Saccharomyces cerevisiae S288C: one gene and its partners. The protein of the gene in region 2 binds, or shares a complex with, the protein of the main gene of each other region. Each region holds a gene or a part of one and is shown on either strand. Other genes may lie near its edges. The genes, in order: TRX1, PBI2 and TRX2.

Region 1 (2,799 bases), on a different chromosome or scaffold from region 2:
TTGTTCAGAACCAAGCAGATATGCTAGCACAATGTGCACCGTTCTATTTTTTTCTATAGTGTGTTTACATTTCTTGGCACATTGCGTTCGGTTTCAAATTTGTATAATTATTATTGGAGCGAGACAGGCGTTTCTGTACCGCTGTTATTTTTAACATCCACTGCGTTTTATGTATCTCTAAAATTGTGCGTTGCCTTTCTTTTGTTTATATTTTTGTTCAAAAAATGAGTTAATAATGATTTTTCATCTTCGGCTTACCGGTCTTGAAAATATTTGTTAAGACAACAGTGGATAAAATAAAACTAAACAACTCAAGCAAAAGTATTCCACTTCTTAAACAAAGCCCAACTGAAAGGTTGCGAAATACTATGTCATTTTGATTTAATCATCTAATGCTCGAGAAAATTTCAGAGCCGTAATACTTAAGTAATCGGAAGAAAAGTATCTCATTCTTCATTTTTCTCCAAATATATACCTCTTGTGTGAAAAATTAATTGTTTCCTCCACCTCCTTTGTGTGGTGGGCAATTGTGTGCTTCCGAGTAAATAACAAAACATAAGGATAATATATAATTCTGTTTTTTTGTCTAAAAAAGGTAAACTATATATAACAAACACAGTATAGAAACACAATATATCGGTCATTGGGTGAGTTTAAGCATTAGCAGCAATGGCTTGCTTAATAGCCGCTGGGTTGGCACCAACAACCTTTGCAACTTCCTTACCGTTCTTGAATAGAAGCAAAGTTGGCATAGCGGAAACTTCATTCTTTTGTGCAACATCACCCAATTCATCGACATCCAATTTATAGAAATCAGCTTGTGGGTATTGTTCAGAGAATTTTTCAATCATTGGAGCAATCATTTTACATGGACCGCACCAAGTGGCGTAGAAATCTACGACAACTAGCTTGTCTTGAGCAATTGCAGAGTCGAATTCGCTGGCAGTTTTGAATTGAGTAACCATTATTTGTATCGAGGTGTCTAGTCTTCTATTACACTAATGCAGTTTCAGGGTTTTGGAAACCACACTGTTTAAACAGTGTTCCTTAATCAAGGATACCTCTTTTTTTTTCCTTGGTTCCACTAATTCATCGGTTTTTTTTTTGGAAGACATCTTTTCCAACGAAAAGAATATACATATCGTTTAAGAGAAATTCTCCAAATTTGTAAAGAAGCGGACCCAGACTTAAGCCTAACCAGGCCAATTCAACAGACTGTCGGCAACTTCTTGTCTGGTCTTTCCATGGTAAGTGACAGTGCAGTAATAATATGAACCAATTTATTTTTCGTTACATAAAAATGCTTATAAAACTTTAACTAATAATTAGAGATTAAATCGCTTATTGCTTAGCGTTGGTAGCAGCAGTCAACTTAGCTTGTTCAACCAAGTTTTGTGGAGCATCGAAGACTGGCAACATGATTTCAATCATTCTGATCTTAGAGTTGTCGTTGAAAGACTTGTCTTGGGTCAACTTGTCCCATTCACCGGTGGTAGCGACTCTGTGGGTTTCATAGTCCTTAGCACCGAAAGTTGGCAACAAGGATAGGTGGTCCCAACCTTGAATTTCGTTGTATTGAGCCTTTGGACCGTGAATCAACTTTTCAATGGTGTAACCATCGTTGTTCAAGACGAACAAGTATGGCTTCAAGCCCCATCTGATCATGGTGGAGATTTCTTGAACAGTCAATTGCAAAGAACCGTCACCAATGAATAAGATAACTCTCTTCTTTGGATCAATTTCTTCAGCAGCGAAAGCAGCACCCAAGGTAGCACCAGTGGTGAAACCAATGGAACCCCATAAGACTTGAGAGATACCGTAGGTGTTGTTTGGGAAAGTGGTTTGGTTGATACCGAAAGCGGAGGTACCGGTTTCAGCAATGACAACATCACCTTCTTGCAAGAAGTTACCCAATTGGTTCCACATCCATTCTTGCTTCAATGGGGTAGAAGCTGGGACAGCAGCGTTAGCTGGAGTTCTAGCTGGGACAGCAACTGGCTTGTAACCCTTAGCGGCGTCAGCAATAGTGGTCAACAACTTTTGCAAAACGAATTTCATTTGGACACCTGGGAAAGTGGCGTTTCTGATCTTCATGTGGTCGGAGTGGAATTCGACAATGTTCTTGGTCTTGTAAGAGTAAGAGAAAGAACCGGTGTTGAAATCAGACAACAAAGCACCGACAGACAAAATCAAGTCAGCAGATTCAACGGCTTCCTTAACTTCTGGCTTGGACAAGGTACCGACGTAAACACCACCGTATCTTGGGTGTTGTTCGTCAATGGAACCCTTACCCATTGGGGTGACGAAAGCTGGGAATTGAGTCAAGTCAATCAACTTCTTAGTTTCAGCCTTGACGTCGTGTCTGGAACAACAAGCATCAGCCAAGATAACTGGGTTCTTAGCATCCTTGACCAAAGCCAAGATGGTGTCAATGACTTCCTTTTCGGATTCAGCATCGTTTGGCTTCAAAGACATGTCAATTGGAGTTTGCAACAACTTAGCTGGGACGTTCAAGTCGACCAAGTTAGCTGGCAAACCTAAGTAGACTGGTCTTTGGGTGACGTAAGTGGTTCTGATACATCTGTCAATTTCAGCTGGGGCGGTAGCAATGTCAGTGATCATAGCAGTGGTTTCAGAAATGTTGGCAGACATTCTGTGGAAAACAGTGAAGTCACCGTTACCCAAGGTGTGGTGCAACAACAATTGCTTAGCTTGAGCAGAGATGGATGGGACACCAACAACGTGCAAAACACCGACGTGTTCAGCGTAAGAACCGGCAATACCGTTCAAAGCAGACAA
Region 2 (2,613 bases):
GATATATATATATATATATTTAAATGGATATATATATATGCACATATATATTATCCAGAAAAGTAAAGCAAAATGTGAATGGAAAAGAGAAAGAAGAAAGAAACAAGTGGAGAAAAAACTCAAATTGTTAGAAGAATATACCCATTAATAGCGGAAATCAAGGCTATTCTTTTGTGCAAGCGCATCGCTCCCCTAAAAGACATCCAGCCGCGCAATGCACGGGCCGCGACCTTGAAAATTTAAAAGACCACTTCCTCAACACAGTTTAGCTCTGTTAATGACAAGGCAAGGAAAGCAAGATGACCAGAAAAAGAAAGTCCCGAGACACATCTTAGATGCCAAAGAAATGGCGCCACAGCAGTTATAAAAGAGCGTTAAAATTGAACAGGAGCAACGATTTAGACTGTCATAAATATATTCGTATATATATATGTATATATATATATATATATATATATATATATAGGACGTGCTCTGCTGTTTTTTGGTGAATTATTATAGTAGACGAGAAATAAATTTACAATCGGGGAGAGAAAATTTCCGAGTAAAAAAGTGTTTGCGTTTATCTCAGGAATCAATTTGTATGAACTTCTTTGTCTTCTTCGACGTTCTCGATGACATCATTGTGCTTTTCCTTCAACTTGTTCAAGTGGAGAACATCTGGTACCTTGATGGTGTACCCTTTAATGATGTCGAATTCGTGTACAATAGAGCCACCTGCGTGATGAACTGAATCCAAGAACTTCTTAGCTTCCACATCTGGAGTGTTCTTTTTCAAAGTGACGATGAAATTCTTTGTCATTATGGACCTTGTTTTTTGTTTGTATATTTAAGATTACCTTCTGGTTACCGTTCAATTGGTCTAAACGGAATCTCTGCACCTAACATAATGAAGCCAGAATTTTTTATATGTGCCATATATATTGCATTGAAAGAAGTTCCCGATGCTCTGATATGCCCCCTTTTTCCCGCCCCATTTTATTTTTTGGGCTATGCAAGATAAAGAAAGACCAAGAGCTCGGGGATGCGTGGTATTGGTCCGTTTCCTTTTGGGAAAGATGCCAGCCACAACCTGCCACGTACGCGATTCGAAATGATTCGGGCGTGCATATGAAGCTCTTGGAAAAAAAATAAGGGCTGGATAGAGGGAAAGGAGGTGTTTGGCAGACGAAGTAATATCATCTAGGTTTTTGATATTTGGCGTCGCGACTTTTTGGTTGTCATTTTCACAACCTTTCCCTAAAGAAAGAAAAGTCCTGTGGAACCAGCCGGGTTCCTGTTAAGCTGCCTTTTTTTTGGTCTTAACAGCCATTCTTTTGTTCGAAACACAGTTCCGTACTTAATGAGAACGTTGGAGCAGCGTCACGGGTGCGCAGTGGTAGTGGCTGTTGCCTTTATGTGCCTGGACTCAAGACTGACATGTCTCCATAACGCTAGGTAGCATTTTTATATACTTAACAAAAGTTGTAAAAAATAAAAACAAAAATTATATATATGGACTCGACAAAATACAGTGGGATGGATGTTTAAAAAAAATAGGGTAAGAAAGGAAAAAGGAAATATAATAAAGAAAGCCTTCAGAAAATACGTTCTTTATTTTTATCACACTATTAGCAATGACTTTCACATTTTAAAGGAAAATAATAGTATTAAAAATTAAACAGTGACGAAGGAAGGAAATAAGACACAGAAAAACTAAAAAAATAGAGTAAGTTTATAGGCCCTTTTATTTTTCGAGCAATAGTAAATTGAGTTTCTTCTTCTTTTTCTCTCCCTTTTTCGTAGTAATTTTTTTTTTAAAAATAGTATAATATAATGAATGGATTCTTGTCGTTCTTTTTTTATTTTATCTTGGGATTTGTAGGTTGCCTCTCTTTATTCTTTCTTTTTGTTTCATTCCACTTTTCTTCATAATATTTATTGTTGTTGCTGCTGTTGCTGCTGTTGCTGTTGTTGCTCAGACATAACCGGTTGTTGTTGGTCATTCATTATAAGTGGCTGACCGCCCTGTTGCTGCTGCTGTGGCATAAAATTTGATCTTTCCTTACCCCAACCGGTTCTCAAGTTTCTGCCTTGAAATGGGAAGTTTGCCAAGGCAACAATACAAACAGCGGCCTGTTCATGAGTGTCATACTTTATGAAGCAACAGCCCTTTTCTGGATAGTGCTTGAAATCTAAAATAAAACCGAAGTTCTGGAACAACGGAATTAAATCAGCTTCAGTGGCAAAGTGCGGAATATTACCGATATAGGCAGTAGTAACTCTTGGTGGGGCACTTCTAATGATGTGGTCAACAGCTTGAGGATTTACTTGAGGAGGTAAACCAATGGTCTGGGATTGTTGGGGTTGGCCTTGAGATGGTAATGGCATGGCGCCAATTGGCATTCCCATTGAACTTGGTGGCATGCCCCTGCTGTTGTTCATATTCATATTCATGTTCATATTCATCCCCATATTCATGTTGTTATTGTTGTTACTGTTATATTGACGGAAACCACCACGGTTGTTGTTACCGTAGTTACGACGCTGTTGATAATTATTATTGTTATTGTTATCACGCTTAGCAGCCCAGTTGATTCTTAGCGGTCTACCATTCAAATCTTGACCTTGCAT
Region 3 (2,627 bases), on a different chromosome or scaffold from region 2:
TCAAAGAGTCTTTAAGAGAACGCGTTAAATTATTGCAAGGCCTCCAAGTCGATACACTATATGATGAAATAAAACAAAAGCTAGAGGTCACCAAGGGTGTGCCAGAACTATGCAAGTTCCTTCACAAAAAAAATTGCAAGCTCGCTGTTTTAAGCGGTGGTTTTATTCAGTTTGCCGGTTTTATCAAGGATCAGTTAGGTTTAGATTTTTGTAAGGCAAACTTGTTGGAAGTTGACACTGATGGAAAATTAACCGGTAAAACACTGGGTCCTATCGTAGACGGACAGTGCAAGAGTGAAACCCTTCTGCAACTATGTAATGACTACAATGTTCCAGTTGAAGCAAGTTGTATGGTGGGTGACGGTGGTAACGACCTGCCAGCCATGGCTACCGCCGGGTTTGGGATCGCATGGAACGCCAAGCCAAAGGTGCAGAAAGCTGCACCTTGTAAGTTGAATACCAAGAGCATGACTGACATTTTATACATTCTTGGTTACACCGATGATGAAATATACAATAGACAATGAAGAAAATAATGATAGATAGATGTAATAGAGTTTCTTTTTAAAATTGTTTATTTAAACTGGTAAACATGATGTACTTTACGTAGCGTTAATATACCGGCAACTATACGTTGGAAGCAATAGCTTGCTTGATAGCAGCTGGGTTGGCACCGACGACTCTGGTAACCTCCTTACCGCCCTTGTAGAAGATTAGGGTAGGCATGGAAGAAACTTCAGCTTTTTGAGCAACATCTGAGACTTCATCAACATCCAACTTGTAAAAAGCAGCGTCAGAATATTGTTCTGCAAACTTTTCAATCATTGGTGCAATCATTTTACATGGCCCACACCATGTGGCAAAAAAGTCAACAACGACTAACTTGTCGCCAGATGCTAAAGCACTGTCGTATTCAGAAGCGGATTTTAATTGAGTGACCATTATTGATGTGTTATTTAAAGATATCGTAGACTCTCGTGTATGTGTGCGTGTATAATTCTTGCTAGACAACAAATAAAAACTGGTCCTCGTTATTCTCTTGTCAGCTTTTCATCCCCCGAATGGCTTTCTTATATACTGATATCCCTCTTTCGGCTGGCTGGAAACTGAACGCGCTTAGTAAGAAAAGAGCCACCTTGTAGGGAGCATCCTTTACTAAGAGTATAAACAATTACACATATACTTTGATGATTACTTAATATTCACTGGCACTCAAGTTATGCTGATCTTGGAGCGATCTTGAAGCCGAGTATGTCATTCTTACCGGGCTCAACAAGACTTTCTTCACTGACTCTCACGCCGCCAACGGTTTCAATGCTTGCAATGGTGACCTCGCCACCCATGATATACCTGGCAACTTTGCCAACAGGGGTTCCTCGCTTGACCAAAAAACAATCTCTAAATACGTTGGTTCCGTTGCCACCCGTAAAAGTCTGGATGTTCTTCACAGTGTACACCGGTATTAGACCAAGGATGTCCGTTGCTGCTTGCAGAACCTGAACAACACCCGTAGATCCGAATCTATACAGGACCAAATCTCTGATATTTTCAATTCTGTTAAGGATCTTGTCGTCCAGTGGCTTTAGTTTGTCTGGCTCGTCCTCAAATGTGTCAACAAATTCCGTGCCCTCCTCGTATAATATAAAACCTTGCTTTTTCAATTTCCTCAAAAAAACTTCCGTCACTGCACTGGTCAGTACAGCTTTGGTGTCAGGATACTTTAGCATGATTTTAGAAACATTTTTATCGGCGTCAGGGTGGTCAATCTTGTTGAGTGCCAACACAGTTGGAAATTTCTCCATCATAAAGGACTTGACCACTCGAGTGATCCATTCGTCATCCCATTTTTCCAAAGGTGGTAGTCCCTTCAACCTGTCCAGGGCTTTTTGGATCATGGGCGCATGTGAACCGTACCCACCGAATTGCGCTTGAAGTGTGTCCACTATGCTAGATTTCGTTGCTGTATGTTTACGCACAATAGACCCCCATCTTTTCTTCAGGTTCCCCTCAACCCAAAGCCTGATTTCGTCTTGCAGCCATTCTATATCGTTCAATGGATCATATCCTCTTGTGTTCTTCCCCTCTGCATCTGTGGTTCCACTAACGTCCACCACATGAATAAGAGCATCTGCGTGTCTTAAATCATCCAAGAATTTATTTCCAAGCCCTCTGCCGGAATGCGCTCCAGGCACAAGCCCTGCCACATCCAACAGTTTGATGGGGATATGCCTCTTACCCTTGCTACACCACCCGTAGTTAGGTTTACAAAGATCTTCCTTGCCAAATCTGGAGCAAGCACACTCAACTTGCAAGTAGCCGGTTGCCTGATTTGGCTCGATCGTGGTAAAGGGAAATGCTCCTACCGCCGCACCTGCGTCCGTCAAAGAATTTAATGTGGTGGATTTCCCTGAAGATGGCTTACCCACAATACCAATCAATGGATCCCTGGGCATACTGGCTCTATTTCCGTTTTATTCTTACAGACAGCTTATACTACAAGTTAGTTGGACAAAAGCTAAAAGACGGAAAACGAAAACGCAAAATGAAAATAAAACCAACTCTCATTACAATTCATCCTAGAACACTTACACATCTGTTTTGCACTGCATAGCATTACATTTCTTGCA

The links.
Region 1: PBI2 (region 2) and TRX1 share a complex: the UniProt entries of both Saccharomyces cerevisiae proteins name them as parts of the heterodimeric LMA1 complex.
Region 3: PBI2 (region 2) and TRX2 share a complex: the UniProt entries of both Saccharomyces cerevisiae proteins name them as parts of the heterodimeric LMA1 complex.

The regions. Positions count from the first base shown.
Region 1 is NC_001144.5:231,049-233,847, forward strand, and holds TRX1 (thioredoxin TRX1), read right to left. Parts: upstream 966-2,799; coding exon 654-965; downstream 1-653. Other genes in the region: PDC1 (indolepyruvate decarboxylase 1), read right to left, coding at 1,342-2,799. UniProt on the Saccharomyces cerevisiae protein: Participates as a hydrogen donor in redox reactions through the reversible oxidation of its active center dithiol to a disulfide, accompanied by the transfer of 2 electrons and 2 protons.
Region 2 is NC_001146.8:603,573-606,185, reverse strand, and holds PBI2 (Pbi2p), read right to left. Parts: upstream 803-2,613; coding exon 575-802; downstream 1-574. Other genes in the region: PUB1 (Pub1p), read right to left, coding at 1,918-2,613. UniProt on the Saccharomyces cerevisiae protein: Cytosolic inhibitor of vacuolar proteinase B (yscB), probably regulating protease B activity during limited proteolysis.
Region 3 is NC_001139.9:912,286-914,912, forward strand, and holds TRX2 (thioredoxin TRX2), read right to left. Parts: upstream 943-2,627; coding exon 628-942; downstream 1-627. Other genes in the region: SER2 (phosphoserine phosphatase), read left to right, coding at 1-527; YGR210C (uncharacterized protein), read right to left, coding at 1,218-2,453. UniProt on the Saccharomyces cerevisiae protein: Participates as a hydrogen donor in redox reactions through the reversible oxidation of its active center dithiol to a disulfide, accompanied by the transfer of 2 electrons and 2 protons.